Elephas maximus indicus: one gene and its partner. The protein of the gene in region 2 interacts with the protein of the main gene of each other region in a pairwise test. Links are inferred from orthologs where the notes say so. Each region holds a gene or a part of one and is shown on either strand. Other genes may lie near its edges.

Region 1 (7,598 bases), on a different chromosome or scaffold from region 2:
CTTGCAGACCTTGGAGGTTACAGGTAGGTAATGAAAACTTCCATTCCACGTGTCTAATTACCAAGCTTCTCAACTAGAACAGACATTTTTCTTCTAGTGCGACTTTGGAAGGGGAGAACATCCAAGGCCCTCAGCTGGGAGGCACTGTGGGAGATGTGTGCTATTGTCTGGGTTTCTACCTGGCTGAGTCTCTGGCTTTTGTGAGCCACTAGCAAGGCCAGACTGTGGGGCCGGTACAGGAAGTCGTAGTCCCCTCCTGTCCCCACAGAAAGGTCCAGACCCAAATGAACCTCTGCTGTGAGTTCTTTCTTGTCATTCTGAGCGTGCTTTCACCATATACTCCTTAACAGCCATTTACTCAGGACACTTACTGTCAAGGCGTCTTTGCAATGTTTAAAAATGTTTATTATAATATGTATGTGGTAAAATGTTAAAACAATGTAGAAGCCTGAAAAACTGAAGTCCTCATCCCCTTCCCAGAGGTTTTTGTTTATCCTTCAAGAGATGCCAACAGACACAGACTAAGGATGCCCTTTCCTTTCGAGCAGGTTACAGATTCAACTCACTACATATACGTGGCCAGAAAGACCAGGAAGATGGCAACACTCCCACTTGGAGAGGCCAGCTGGCCTTAGAGCTGCAGGGTACCCCTAGGTCAGAGTGAGAAGTCCCCTGTGCCCTTCTCCCTGCCACTCCCAGCTCTTCTGGAGACTAGGTGCTGCTTACCCATCGGGGCAGGGCAGGGCAGCGTCACCACCTCAGCATGGTCCTTTGTTTTTTATCCTCCATTATGCTGTTCCCCTTGCCATCCAAGGTGCCAGCCTGTGTCTGTTACTGTGTTGGTTTTTTTGAAGCCTAAGAATAATTACGTAGCATTCTTGAACTTGCTTTATTTTTTTTTTTTTTTTGGCTTTAAAGAACCGTTCCAGAGGCTAAAAGTCCAAATCAGGGTCCTGGTCGTGCCAGTTACTTCTTTGGACCTCTCTCCTAGTTTCTGGTGTCTGCCAGCAATCCTTGTTGTTCCTCTGATTGCAGACAAATCTTCATGTGGTGTTTTAGTCATCTAGTGCTGCCATAACAGAAATACCACAAGTGGATGACTTTAACAAAGAGAAATTTATTTTCTCAGTCTAGTAGGTTACAAGTCCAAATTCAGGGTGTCGGCTCCAGGGGAAGGCTTTCTTTCTCTGTCGGCTCTGGAAGGAAGGTCCTCGTCCTCAATCTTCCCCTGGTCGAGGAGCTTCTCAGGAACAGGGACCCCATGTCCAAAGGATGCGCTCTGCTCCTCGTGCTGTTTTCTTGGTGGTACGAGGTCCCCAACTCTCTGCTTGCTTCCCTTTCATCTCTTGAGAGATACAAGGTGGTACAGGCCACACCCCAGGGAAACTCCCTTCACCTTGGATCAAGGAGGTGACCTGACTAAGGGTAGTATTACAATCCCACCTTAATCCTCGTGACATAAAATTACAATCACAAAACGGAGGACAACCACACATGGCCTAACGAAGTTGATACACAGATTTTTGGGGGGATATAATTCAATCCATAGCCTGTTTGTCTATTCTGCTTTTTCTGTACCACTCAGAAATGATGTTTAGGACCCACCCTACTTTGGTATAGCTTCATTAACACAACAAACGAAAACTATTTCGAAACAGATCATATGTACAGGTACAGGGGTTAGAACTTCTGAATTTCTTTTGGGGGACAAAATTCAATCATAACATTAGTTTTTAGAATAGTAAAATGGTTAAGTGCTCAAGTGCCAGTGTCTGGCCAACAGTATTTGTATTTTGGCTCTACTACGCATGGCTCTGTGACCTTGAGCAGACAACTGACCAATCCTCTCTGATCCTCCCTGAGAAATGGGGAAAAGTTACTGTCAAGCTCAGTGCCTGGCACATACAGCTGCTTTACTTTTTGCATAACAGTGCACCTTGGAGACTACAGAGTTCTTTTTAATGACCATAGATGGTGTTTTACTGTGTAACTGTATTAACTCTTGATGATGATGTTAGTTGCTGACTCTGACACAGGGCAGCCTTATGTACAACAGAACAAAATGTTACCCGGCTCAGTATCATCATCACAATCACCATCATGTGTCAGTCCATCATTGTGGCTACTGTGACAGTCCATCTCACTGAGGGTCTCCCTTGCCCTCACTGGCCCTCTACTTCACCAAACATGATGTCTTCCTCTAGTAGTTGATCCCTCCTGATAATGTAGCCAAAGCAGGCGAGTCAAATAACGTGCTTTTCTGATCCATAAGGTTTCTATTCACTAATATTCAGAATTCGGAAGTAGATAACCGGGTCTTTCTTTCTAGTCTCTTAGTTGGGAAGCTCCACTGAAAAGTTCATGGGTGACCCTGCTGGTTTCTGAAATACTCGTTGGTATAACTTCCAGCAACACACAAGCCACCACAGCATGACAAACTGACATGATAATTTAATTCTCTATGATAGACATTAGTTTCGAGCAGCGCTTGGAATCAGTTTGGAACTGTTCAGTAATTGCCGACTTAAATGAGGGCATTGTTGCATAGCAACCAGGTCTCTTGCCTTGGATTTTGACCAAGTGCTCCACTCAGAGATGATGTCTAACAATGCTGCTTTGAATGTGTGTTGCTCTCTCCACAGTCCTGCCATTAATCCAGTCTCCTGCATGGGTCCCAAAATTTTCAGGAGCCTGATGCTTTTCTGTTAAAAGGTGATCTCAGGGAGTTTTGATTCAAGGTTTTGAAAAGCGTCTCAGGGCAATAGCCTCAAGGAGTCTTTTGGTCTCAGTGGTCCAGTTAATCTGGCCATTTTTATAAATTTGAATTTTGATCTGCCTTTTTCTCCCATTCAACCAGGATCATGTATTGTGACCCTGGTTGGGTAAGTCAGTGGTGGTAGCTGGGCACCATCTCGTTTTTCTGTTCTCAGGGTAGTTGAGGTCATGCTTGTGTAGGCAATTAGCCTTATAGACTTGTTTCCTCTCTGTGATTTTTGGTTACCTTCATATTCTTTGGCTCCTGACAAGTAGAGACCGATAGTTATATCTTAGATGGCTGCTTGCAGACTTTTAAGATCCCAGATACTACTCACTTCACTGGGATGCAGCACATGAACTTTGTGAACTATATTGTGCCAATTGATGGAGTTGTCCCATGAGACTAAGGTCCTCTTCCTACAAACTTAGAAAACCAATCCCACAAAGTGTTCAGTTATGTCCGAGAAGTATCAGTAATTATGTCTTCTTTCAATATATGTGCCTGCACACACATATCTGTACTCAACGTGTATAGATACTACGACCTGTGCACACTTACGTGCACACCTGTACCTACCCGTATACTTATTTGCCTATACTCATACATATGTAATCATATGCTGGTTTTGTGGTCATCTTTGTGTCTACAGTAATTACTTAAACTGGACCCACAGCTTTTTTTTTAAGCTATCATTTCTGAGAGCAGTATTAACCTTATCTTCTGTCTTCCCCTTGTGTGACAGGTGGGCATCAACTACCAGCCCCCCACCGTCGTCCCCGGGGGAGACCTGGCCAAGGTGCAGCGCGCCGTGTGCATGCTGAGCAACACCACGGCCATCGCCGAGGCCTGGGCTCGCCTCGACCACAAGTTCGACCTCATGTATGCCAAGCGCGCCTTTGTGCACTGGTACGTGGGGGAAGGCATGGAGGAAGGCGAGTTCTCGGAGGCCCGGGAGGACCTGGCGGCGCTGGAGAAGGATTATGAAGAGGTGGGCGTGGACTCCGTGGAAGCAGAGGCCGAGGAAGGGGAAGAATACTAGATGGAGTGTGGCTGGCAGCCATTTATTTGTATCTCCCCGACTGTAATTTACAGATTTATCTATTAAAATTTCTGTATTGAGGCGTCCCGTCTCTTGTGCTTCATTTTGACAAAATTCCCAATCCAGATACCTGGCTTTTCAAAGAGATTTCTAGAGGGGAAACATCCGTTTATTTCTTCTCAAAAGAACAAATTAAGCATGTCTGTGCACATTTAATTGGTAACTTACATTACCTCCAGAAAAGCCTCAAAAGGCTCGGTTGAGGGAATCGGAAAAATGCTTTACTCAAATAATATAAAGTCTTTAGCTCGCCATACTTGGTGTTCTCGGGACGGCAATCTGCCTTTTTCGCCCAAAGAGAGCTTTCTGAAATCATGGGATGACTCTGCACCCCGGCTTGGCGGCGTGGAGCCCGGTCCCGCCGCTTCTCCAGGGCAGCGCAGACCCAGGTCGGAAACGCCCATCCTTCCGGCCTCCCCGCGCTCCTGTCCGAGGCTGCCACCGGCGCCCTCCAGCCCATCACACTTCCCTGTAACTAGTGACGGCCGCCCGACGCACCGGCGTCCCTCTGCCTGAAGTCCCTGGCCGGTATCCCGGAGTAAGCTCTGAGCACTGGTGTCTGCCAGGGGGTTCCGGGCAAGCGTCCCGGCCGCTTCTCGTCATCGGGGTTTCTTCTGTGCAGTTAGGGACCCTCAGCTCCCGTGGGTGCCGGTGCAGTAGGCTGTGCGCCCCAGAGCTGGAAGGCAGCCGCCATCACGCGCCCCTCGGTCGGCGCCGGGCAACTCACAGATCCGCGCGGGCGCCGAAAAGACAGCACCGGGAGCGCGTTTGCCGCGCGGGCCTGGCCCACTCGCCAGCCAGCCACGCCCGCTTCCCGTCCCGCCCACAGCCGAGCGCCGCGCGCGTCCGCTCCTCCGTCTCTATGGTGCCAATTTCCGCCGCGCGCCACCCATCGCGAGACTTCGGCGGCGCAGCAATGGCGACACCGTGAGTGCAGCTGACAGGAGTTCAGAGGCCGGGCTGGGGCAAGATAGGGCCGGGGGAGCCCCGACAAGCCAGGGCCCCTGGAGCGGAGCGGCGGTTGGGGCGCGAGGCCCCTGCGGGCCCGGACAGACGCCCTTGCCCAAGCTCCTGCCTCTCCCCCAGATGCCGCGTCACTGTTCCGCCGCCGGCTGCTGCACACGGGACACGCGCGAAACGCGCAACCGCGGCATCTCCTTCCACAGGTCAGCGCGCGTGCGTGCTGCCGCGCGAAGGCTCGCGTGCGCATGCGCTGGGCTCGCGCGCCGCTCTGGGCGCCGGCTGCGCATGTGCCCCGGGCCTCCGTCAGGCGGGGGCGAGGCTTGAAGTCACCGGTGAGAGAGGGTGAGGGGGGCGGTGCCGGTGGGACCGCGATCTGTAAGGGAAGGAAGGGGCGGGAGGTGTGGGCCCACTGCTCCCTGACTCTCACCGCTAGGTGACGCTGAACCAGCTGCTGGCCTCCTCGAGGCTTCACTCCGTGCCCGGCGCTGTGCGCGGCGCCTGCCCTTTCTGCCCAGGGCCCCGGGCGGCATGAGCCCGCGCGGCCGGCGGCCCGGCGCTCAGGGGTGTGTGGCTCCGCAGACTTCCCAAGAAAGACAACCCGCGACGAGGCTTGTGGTTGGCCAACTGCCAGCGGCTGGACCCGAGCGGCCAGGGCCTGTGGGACCCGGCGTCCGAGTACATCTACTTCTGTTCCAAGCACTTCGAAGAGAATTGCTTCGAGCTGGTGGGAATCAGGTGGGCCTCCTCGCGGCCAGCGGGGTCGGGCGTGGGCTGTGGGTGTGGGAGAAGCCGGGCGGAGGGTGGCCGATGAGGAGGGCCCTGGCGCAGCGAATAAGGCGAGGCTCCGAGGGCGGTTCGGCCTCGTCCAGTTGTCTTCTAACTAATGAAGACGGGATCATCGGGCCAGTGACGCAGAGAAAAAATATTAGTCCTTCCAGAGACTGTTGTTTAGAACTTCAGTACTGTCAGCAAGCGCACAAATTAAAGAATCCCCTGTGCTGCTCACCCCGGCCCTGCTGGGGAGTCTCTCGCCACATTAGCTCCAAGGAGGCCTGCAGGGGGGAGATTGTCTCACTGCCGGCGCTTGCGCTCCCCAGGCTACCTATCGCAGTCTGCCTCCCTGCCTCCCCCAGGGTGCCCAGGGACCCTGCCCCGGGGTGCTGGCGGGGCACCCTGCCCAGGGCAGGTCCGCCTGTGGGGGCAGCATCTGCTCTCAGCTCATCCGGGCTGCTTTTCCCATAGCGGGTATCACAGGCTGAAGGAAGGGGCGGTCCCCACGATATTTGAGTCTTTCTCCAAGTTGCGTCGGACATGCAAGACTAAGGGGCGCAGTTACCCACCTGGTCCTCCTGAAGTCAGTCGGCTCCAGCGATGCAGGAAACGGTATGTGCTACAGGTGGGGGCAGCCCCGCTGCACTCCCTTACTGCAGTCTGAGGGCCTGGGATGTGGGGTGCCTGCTGGTGTTCTGAGAGCAGTGTCCTGAGCCCAGCTGTGTGTGGGGGCGCTCAGGTGGGCTAGTGAAATGAGGTCTGGCAGGGCCTTGGCCCAGCTTGTCAGGTTCTTTCTCTCCCTAGCTGCTCTGAAGGCCGTGGACCCACAACTCCATTTTCTCCTCCTCCACCTGCTGACATCCCCTGCTTTCCCGTAGAAGAGGCCTCAGCACCTGCGGCTTTGCCGACCTCTCCAGCTGGGAGGCTGGAGCCTGGCCTCAGCAGCCCCTTCTCAGACCTCCTGGGGCCCCTGGGCGCCCAGGCAGATGAAGCAGGCTGCAGCACCCAGCCTTCTCCGGAGTGCGAGCCGGAGCGGCAGCCCTCCCCTCTGGAGCCTCGGCCTGTCTCCCCCTCAGCGTACATGCTGCGCCTGCCACCCCCCGCGGGGGCCTACATCCAAAATGAGCACAGCTATCAGGTGGGCAGTGCCCTGCTCTGGAAGAGGCGGGCCGAGGCAGCCCTCGATGCCCTGGACAAGGCCCAGCGCCAGCTGCAGGCCTGCAAGCGACGGGAGCAGCGGCTACGGCTGCGCCTCACCAAGCTGCAGCAGGAGCGGGCGCGGGAGAAGCGGGCACAGGCTGACGCCCGCCAGACTCTGAAGGAGCACGTGCAGGACTTTGCCATGCAGCTGGGCAGCAGCTTGGCCTGAGGGATGGGCACTGGGCTCCAGCTGACAGAGAGGCAGTGCCAGCCTCCTCTCCCTCTGATTCTGCCCAAGAGGGACCCAAATGAACTGTGTCCACCAGACCTGACCAGATGCCATAATAAAACAGATGTGAGAATGAGGCCTGCTGTTTGGCTTCAATGGGGCTGGGGGACCCCCTTGAGTCTCAGGTTCATTCCCCAGGAAACGGCTACCAGGCAGTGGGCTAGAAGTCCTTGCAGCCCCCAGAAGGCACAGACCCTGGAGCCCAAGCTCTTGCCTGCCTGGACTAGAAACCCCATTCTCTTCCTGCAGTTCCTCCTCACGGCTGCACAGGTGGACAGGTAGCAGCCCACACCTGTCCAAGAGGCAGGGACTCCAGGGTGGGGCTCTGGTGCCTGTTGCCCACCCCCCCCCATGCCCCACAGAAGTCTCTGAGGGAACCCAGACAAACCTATTGCTATTGATTCCGACTTATAGTGACCCCATAGGGTTTCCAAGGTCGTAAACCTCTACGGAAGCAGACTACTGCTTTTCTCCTGCAGAGCCACTGGTGGTGTCAAACAGCCCAACTTGCAGTTGCCAGTCGATCACTTTAATCACTGCCACCAGAACTCCTTTCTGAAAGGATACAGTGGTGTAAC
Region 2 (7,451 bases):
ATTGAAGTAGTACACCCGGCCTGGAAGGGAGGAGAGATGGGAATTCAGTTAGGGCTGTGCTCGCAGATGCCACCCTGGAGCCCTAACCAGAGGCCAGGGTACAGACATGCCTTCATTAAGCAAATAAACTGTGCACCCACCATGTGCCACAGGCCCGGGGACACTGGAGCCAACTTGGCAGGACATAACCCTGCTGTAGCGTGATGGATTGCTTTTATATGGCCTTTCTTGCCATGGTCTTGTAACTCTCACCACATGATTGGGTGGGACCATGTAAATAAGATGTATGGAACCCTAACAAGGGGATTGGTCAGTTTTGCCATTCCACTAGGCTTAAAATGAGCCATCCCATAGGTGGAAAGGGAGGACCTCACTACCACCAAAAATAAGAAATGGGAGCAGAGCATGCTGAGAATCTCCTAGACCCAACAGACAAAGATAGAGAGCTATAAAAGTACAACTTAGCGAGAAGTGGCAGCAGAGAAACAGCAGAAGAACCAGGAGGCTGGTGCAAGATGGTGCAGTGGGCCTCCCAGCCCACGGAGTAATACGGTTACAGTGGGTGTGCTGACCCACGGAGTGAGAGAGCTAAGCACCTTTGGGCAGGAGCCTTCCTGGAGGAGTGGAGTGCCTCTGGGTACTTATTAGCAGAGCTAAAGAGCTTTGTTTAACACTTGCCTGAGCACCCAACAGGCTCAAACAGCAACGACTTTGAGGATGGTACTGGACCAGGCAGTGTTTTGTTCTATTGTACATAGGGTTGCTATGAGTCAGAACTGACTTGACGGCACCTAACAACAACTACTTCTCTAATACACCCCATAACTATGAGTATGATCTGTGAGTTCTGTTTAGCCACTGCAATGGACTATCAAACCCAGCACAGTAGCAGAGAGTGCTGTCGGAGGTATAGCTGGTGTCAGAATTGGTAAAAAGACTGGAAACAGGCAGTATGTCTGACCTCCACCCTCATAGGAATCAGCGTGGGGCTGATGTGGATGGCAATTCTCTCTCCCTCTCACGAAGTTAGAGAAGGTCAGATGCCCCTAACATGCCATTTTTAACACCTATCTTATGGAGCTAACATTCTAAGTGGGGGCAGACAGACACTAAACAAGCAAATAAGATAACTTCAGTCGCTGGTAACTTCAAGGAGGAAAATAACCCAGGGTGGCGGAACAAGGCAAACCTGGGAGACAGGAGACTGATTCAAAGCATTCATTCAGCAGACCGCCTGTCTGGGTTCAAATCCAGCCCTGCCACTTACCCAATGATCTACCTTCCCTGGACCTCAGTTTTCTCACCTGTAAAATGGACATAACAATACCTGACTGTATGGTTGTTGTAAAGACTGAATAAGCTCACATCTGTAAACGGCTTAAAACAGCGCCTGGAACACATCAACAGTGTGATAGCTGTTATCATCTCCTTTTATAGATGACAAAATTGAGGCCTCGCCTTCCCCATCTTTAGTAATGGCAGTAACAGGTAACACTTCCTTACTGTTTACTCTGTTCCATGCACACACTTGGGCCCATCACCATTAAGGACCGGCTGTCACCCCCAAGGAAGGCTGTCAGGGTCCAGCTGAATAGAAATGGCATGAATGAGGGCCCAGAGGTGGGCGGAGCATGAGGTTTATGCTGTAGGTGCCAGTCAAAGGCCAGGGCAGGAACAGGGTGGGCAATGGCATGGGCTCTGAGGGCAAATCCAGTTGAGCCACTGACTTAAACTCTAAAATCGTGGCAATGGGCTCTACCTCCCCGAATCTCTGCTTTCTCATCTGAAAAGTGGGGGTGAGAGAATAAGGACATCAAATCTCATGGGATTAATGTGGAGAGTTGATGATGCACACGAAGTGCTCACCAGAGTGCCAGACACATGGTAAGCTCTCTAACAGAACCAAACCCATTGCCATCGAGTTGATTCTGACTCATAGCAACTCTATAGCACAAGTAGAACTGCCCTACAGGGTTTCCAAGGAGCGCATTGTGGATTCGAGCTGCAGACCTTTTGGTTAGCAGCCATAGCTCTTAACCACATGCCACTAGGGTTTCCAAACACTCCAAGTAAACAGGAATTATTACTGAGGTTACTAGAGACTTTGAGGCAATGCAGTGACTCCCCAAACACAACCAGGAAGTGGGCTTGCTCCTCCAGAGCTTGCAGTGAAGTGGCTGTGGGCAGGCAGCTCTGGAGCCCAGTCTACGCTCCCTGAACTGAATGACCTCAGGCGAGTTCCTTAAGTTCTGGCCTCAGTTTCTTCACCTACAAAATGGAGGTAACAACTACCTCCCTCCCACAGTTGTGGCGATTTGGAGAGAACACGCTTAAAATGCTTGGCACAATGCCTGGAGCAGAGATAAACGTGGCCTACTATTGGCGATAACCTTTAAATTCAGCCCAGGGCACAGGGGCCAGCCTCAAGCAGGATAACGGGGGACATTGCAGACTCAGCATTAGATGTGGACGCCAGGGGTTATGGCTTCTGGGTCGGGAAACACGCTGGGGCCACATCCTGTGGATGGGGTTGGGGTGTCGCCCCTGTGATGCCTCCGGGCCCGGAGGGATGTAAAGATGTCCACCCACGGGACTTCAGCCGAATTAGGCCCGGGCGTGTCGGCCGGGTGGGCAGGGACAGGGCCATCGCCCGGGAAGTGTGTGAGCTCACCGGCCCCTCACCCACCCCTCAGCGCGCTAAGCCTCCCTGGCGCCGCCGTGCCTCAGCTTCCCCACTCCTGAGGCCCACAGCAGCCACCGAATGTGCCCGGGCCGTTCCCCGGGATCGACGCAGAGAAGCCAAAACCCCACAGGAAAGAAGCGGCGGCGCCGCGCCCGAAGGGCAAGCTCGATCCCTGCTTCCATGGGCCCGCGCGATCCTACCCCAGCCCCAGCCCCTGAGGCACCTGAGCTGCGGCTCATGCGCTTCTCCCAGCCGGGCGGCAGCTTCTCTTCGTCCGCCATCTTCGCTCCTGCCGCAGCGCCCGCTCCGCCTCCGCCGCACCGCCTAGGTCTCCCGCGCCCGCCCGCCGCCACCGCCGATTGGCTCGGTGCGCCCCCGCACCCGGACCTTGGGGCGACGCTCACTGGATACCCCAACCGTCGGGACTCCCTTCCTGGCTTCTTATTGGACAGAAGCGAGGGTGGGCGGCTCCTCCCACATCTTATCTGGGCCCCGCCCCCTCGGCCCCTAAGTGGCAGGGAAGGGACTCAAGCCGGCCCTTCTCAACGCCCTTAGGCGAGCTCCAAAGAAGTCCCGACCACTCCTTTGCGTCCTTCGCCGCACAGCCCGCTCGGGCAGGAAAGAGCTTACTGATTGGCTACCGCAGTGGCTATTCCCGCCTTCGTAAACCATTCCTGAAGGCTGGCAATCCCTTGATTTCTACCCAAGCGGAAGTGTCTGGCTAGTATGGGGATAACGGCAGCCGACGAGGTACTTGGGAGTTGCGGTGCTGACTGTCCTGTTGCCATAGCAACCCAGTTACCTTGGTGAGGAGTGGCTAAGAATCCAGAAGCCTAAATTTGGCTTCTCCATCCTCCCTCGTCCCACCTGTTTCCTCCAGATGTCCAAAGCTAACCCGTCCCCCTTTTATTCTGTGCAAGGCTAACACTTCCCTATGCTACTGACCCAAACACCTTACATCTCCTTTGGGACCTACTTACATCACATTCTCTGTCAATCTCAATCTTCCCTCGTCCTGGGTGGCTGATGGGTGCTGGCATTGCCACTCAGGTGGGAACACTTTGCGGGGGGGGGGAAGGCGTGGGTAGGGCGGAGAGGGAAGGATGATGAGCTCAGTTTGAGTCAGTTTAAAATCGAGTCTGCGGTGCCCGTGGGGCATTGAGTAGGTGGTTGGAGACTCAGCTCTGGGGAATTGCAGGCGGGAGAGAGATACAGAAGTCAGACATTAAGAGAAGAGTTCAATGACAGTTATCTGTAGCGTGTACCCTATAATGACCATTTAAAAAATGTTGCACAGTGACATGAACGCATAGGGAATCAAGTCCAGAACAAATTAGAGGCAGGATATGATAGAAGGTTAAAAGCACACCCTGGAGCCACACTGCTTGGACTCAAAACTCCACTTAGCCACTTGCTATGACCTTGAGCAAATTACTTAGCTTCTGCACTTCAGCTTCCCCATCTACAAAAGGGGGATGAGAAATAATACATACCTCATCAGATTGATGGAAACCCTGGTGGCACAGTGGTTAAGTGCTACAGCTGCTAACCAAAAGGTCAGTAGTTCAAATCCACCAGGCACTCCTTGGAAACCCTATGGGGCAGTTCTACTCTGACCTATAGGGTCTCTATGAGTTGGAATCGACTTGATGGCAATGGGTTTGGTTCATCAGTTTGACGTGACGTTTAAATGATGCTGGGTGAAAAAAGCAAGTCATACCACCAAAACCAAACCCAGTACTAGAGTTCCCAAATACTCTTCACCCAGCTTTCCCTTCTGTTAGCATCTTACATAACAATAAAATAGTATTCAACCAGGGCACTTTTGCCCCCCAGGGGACAGCTGGCAATGTCTTCAGACATTTTTGTTGTCACAGATGGGGGGGGTGGAGGGCGGGGATACTACTGGCATCTAGTGGGTAGAGGTTGTTTTAGTTATCTAGTGCTGCTGTAACAGAAATACAAGTGGATGGCTTTAACAAAGAGAAATTTATTCCCTCACAGTCTAGGAGTCTAGAAGTCCAAATTCAGGGCAGCAGCTCCAGGGAAAGGCTTTCTCTCTCAGTTCTGGGGGAAGGTCTTTGTCATCAATCTTCCCCTGATCTAGGAGATTCTCAGTGCAGGGAACCTGGGTCCAAAGGAAGCACTCTGCTCCTGGCACTTCTTTCTTGGTGGTATGAGGTCCCTCTCCTCTCTTCTTGATTCTTTTATATCTCAAAAGAGATTCAAAGTACAACCTAATCCTGTAGATTGCCTCCTGCCTCATTAAGATAACTGTCTCTAATCCTGTCTCATTAACATCATAGAGATTAGGATTTACAACACAAAGGGTAATCACATCAGATGACAAAATGGTGAACCACCACACAATACAGGGAGTCATGGCCTAGCCAAGTTGACACACATTTTAGGGGGATACAATTCAATCCCTAACAGAGGCCAAAGATGCTGGCTAAACATCCTACACTACACAGCACCCCTACATACAAGAATTATCCAGCCCAAAATGTCAATAATGCCAAGGTTGAGAAAACCTGCCATAGAAAAATTATCAAATCTAAGAAATAAACATCAGTACAATACTATTAGCTATACTACAGACTTTTTTCTAGATTTCCCCAGGTTTTTGAATATTTTTTTTTTTTTTTGGTTTCAGAATCTCTCATTGTCATGTCTCCTCCAATATGTGACAGTTCCTTGTCTTTCATGACAGACTCTTCTGAAGAGTAGAATGTCTCTCATTCCAATATTGTCATGATGTGTTTGTCTAATTTCTCACAATTAAATTGAATTATGTATCACCAGGAAGAATACCAGAAGCAATGTGCCCTTCCTGGTGCATCATATCAAGTGGTAGATGATTTTGAAATGTGTTACTGATTGTCTTAGGTATGGACTGCCACATAACAAATCACCCACAACTTAGTGAATGAACATTTATTATCTGTTTCTGTTGAGTCAGTAGTCCAGGCACTTTAGCAGGATGCTTCTGCCTCAAGGTCTCTTAACAGACTGTAATCAGGTGTTGGCAGAGATGGTTGCAGTCTCATCTGAAGGCTTGACTGGGGCAGGGATTGTTGGCAAGATTCAGTTCCTCACAAGAAGTTGGACTGAGGGCTATATTCTTCACTGGCTTTGGCTGGTGGTCTCTCCATAAGGCAGCTCACAACATGGCTGCTGATTTTCATCACAGAACAAATAAGAAAGCAAGAGAGCAAGCAGGATGGAAGCCAGTCTCTTTGGAACCTATCTCAGAAATTGCATCCCATCACCTACACTCAAGAGGAGGGGATTATACAAGGTTGTGAATACCAGAATGTGGGGATCATTAGGAGTCATTTCAGGGGTTGCATACCACATATATTAACTTTGACCATTTCCTTAAGGCGGTATCTAAACTTACTGTTTTTCCCTTTGTAATTAATATTTAAGGCAGATACTTCAAGATTATGCAAATATCCTACTTCTGCTTAAATTCTGACCACAAAATTTTACCATCTAACAGTGGGTCACTATGAGTCGGAATTGACTTGGCAGCACTGGGTTTGGTTTTTTTTTTTTTTTAACAGTGGATCTTGCCTATGGCAATTAGTGCTGTGGTGTCCAATGGTGATTTCTCATTTCTATACTTCCACATTTATTTATTGGAATCCTCCTGTAAGAAAAGGTTCTCCTTTCTCCACATTTATTTCTTCAGTTAGTTTTTGGATATTCAAGTCCCTGGGTGGTACAAACGGTTAGCTGCTTGGCTACCAACCAAAAGGCTGGTGGTTCGAGTCCACCCAGAGGTACATCGGAAGGAAGGCCTGGCAATCTACTTCTGAAAAATCTACCCCTGAAAACCCTATGAAGCAGTTCTACTCTGACATACATGGGTTCACCATGAGTCGGAGTTGACTCAGTGGCAGCTTTTTTTTTTTTTAGTTAAAATGGGCTCAAAATTATTTTATTCTTTGGATTATAATTCAATACCATCATTACTTTGTTGCTCAAGTTGTTCCAGGTTTGGCCATTTGGAGCCCTTTCAGTTTGGTTCCTGTGCTCTCTCAACACACTCCCATCCTTTTTTATTTGGGCACTTCCTACTTTCTGGCACCACAGATTGCTCCAGGCTCATCTTGTATTTTCCCTGCCCAAGCCCTGGAACCAACTCGTTTTTCCCAGAAGGCCTAGTTCTTTTTATTGGAGGATTGTATTTAGAAACCAAGATTGGAGTGCAAGATATGGTCATCACTATTGGGGTGTCACTGCTTCTGGTCCTGCTCCGTAGATAAAAAAAGGAAATGTATGTATGTGTGTATGTATATACATACACACACACGTATACATCTCTATATTTCTGTCTGCATATATAGTAAACACAGTTATAAATTCATCCTGATACCTCCAACTTTAATCCAGTCCCACAGGGTTCATTCCAGCCTTCCTCCATTTGATTTGTAACTTTTACTTCTAGCAATAAGAAACCGTGGCTCTCATCTATAATAGATTATTTGTTGAACTGTAACGTGTATGTATACACACACACACACACACACACAGGTAGGTAGGTAGTTTCAGAATTGCTAGCCCATACCTCTAGCGAGGCTGGGTATTTCAGATAAGCAAAACCAGCAAAGCGCATATTAAAAAAAAACAAACCCACTGCTGTCAAGGTGATTCCAACGCATAGCAACTCTACAGGACAGGGTAGAACTGCCCCATATGGTTTCCAAGGAGCAGCTGGTGGATTCGAACTGCCAACCTTTTGGTTAGCAGTCAAGCTCTT

Evidence for each region. The genes of interacting proteins can lie anywhere in the genome.
Region 1: the proteins of PIN1 (region 2) and THAP7 interact in binary tests that used the Homo sapiens proteins (3 or more experiments, as listed by UniProt). The two-hybrid records come from large-scale screens. The link is inferred for Elephas maximus indicus from reciprocal best matches to the Homo sapiens genes PIN1 and THAP7.

What each region holds. Positions count from the first base shown.
Region 1 is NC_064840.1:21,509,982-21,517,579, reverse strand, and holds THAP7 (THAP domain-containing protein 7), read left to right. Parts: upstream 1-4,738; 5' UTR 4,739-4,784; intron 4,785-4,943; coding exon 4,944-5,023; intron 5,024-5,399; coding exon 5,400-5,555; intron 5,556-6,062; coding exon 6,063-6,203; exon of another isoform or gene 6,204-6,310; intron 6,311-6,395; coding exon 6,396-6,960; 3' UTR 6,961-7,097; downstream 7,098-7,598. Other genes in the region: tubulin alpha-3 chain-like, read left to right, coding at 3,501-3,797. UniProt on the Homo sapiens protein: Chromatin-associated, histone tail-binding protein that represses transcription via recruitment of HDAC3 and nuclear hormone receptor corepressors.
Region 2 is NC_064821.1:28,010,631-28,018,081, reverse strand, and holds the start of PIN1 (peptidyl-prolyl cis-trans isomerase NIMA-interacting 1), read right to left. Parts: upstream 3,007-7,451; 5' UTR 2,965-3,006; coding exon 2,907-2,964; intron 21-2,906; coding exon 1-20. UniProt on the Homo sapiens protein: Peptidyl-prolyl cis/trans isomerase (PPIase) that binds to and isomerizes specific phosphorylated Ser/Thr-Pro (pSer/Thr-Pro) motifs.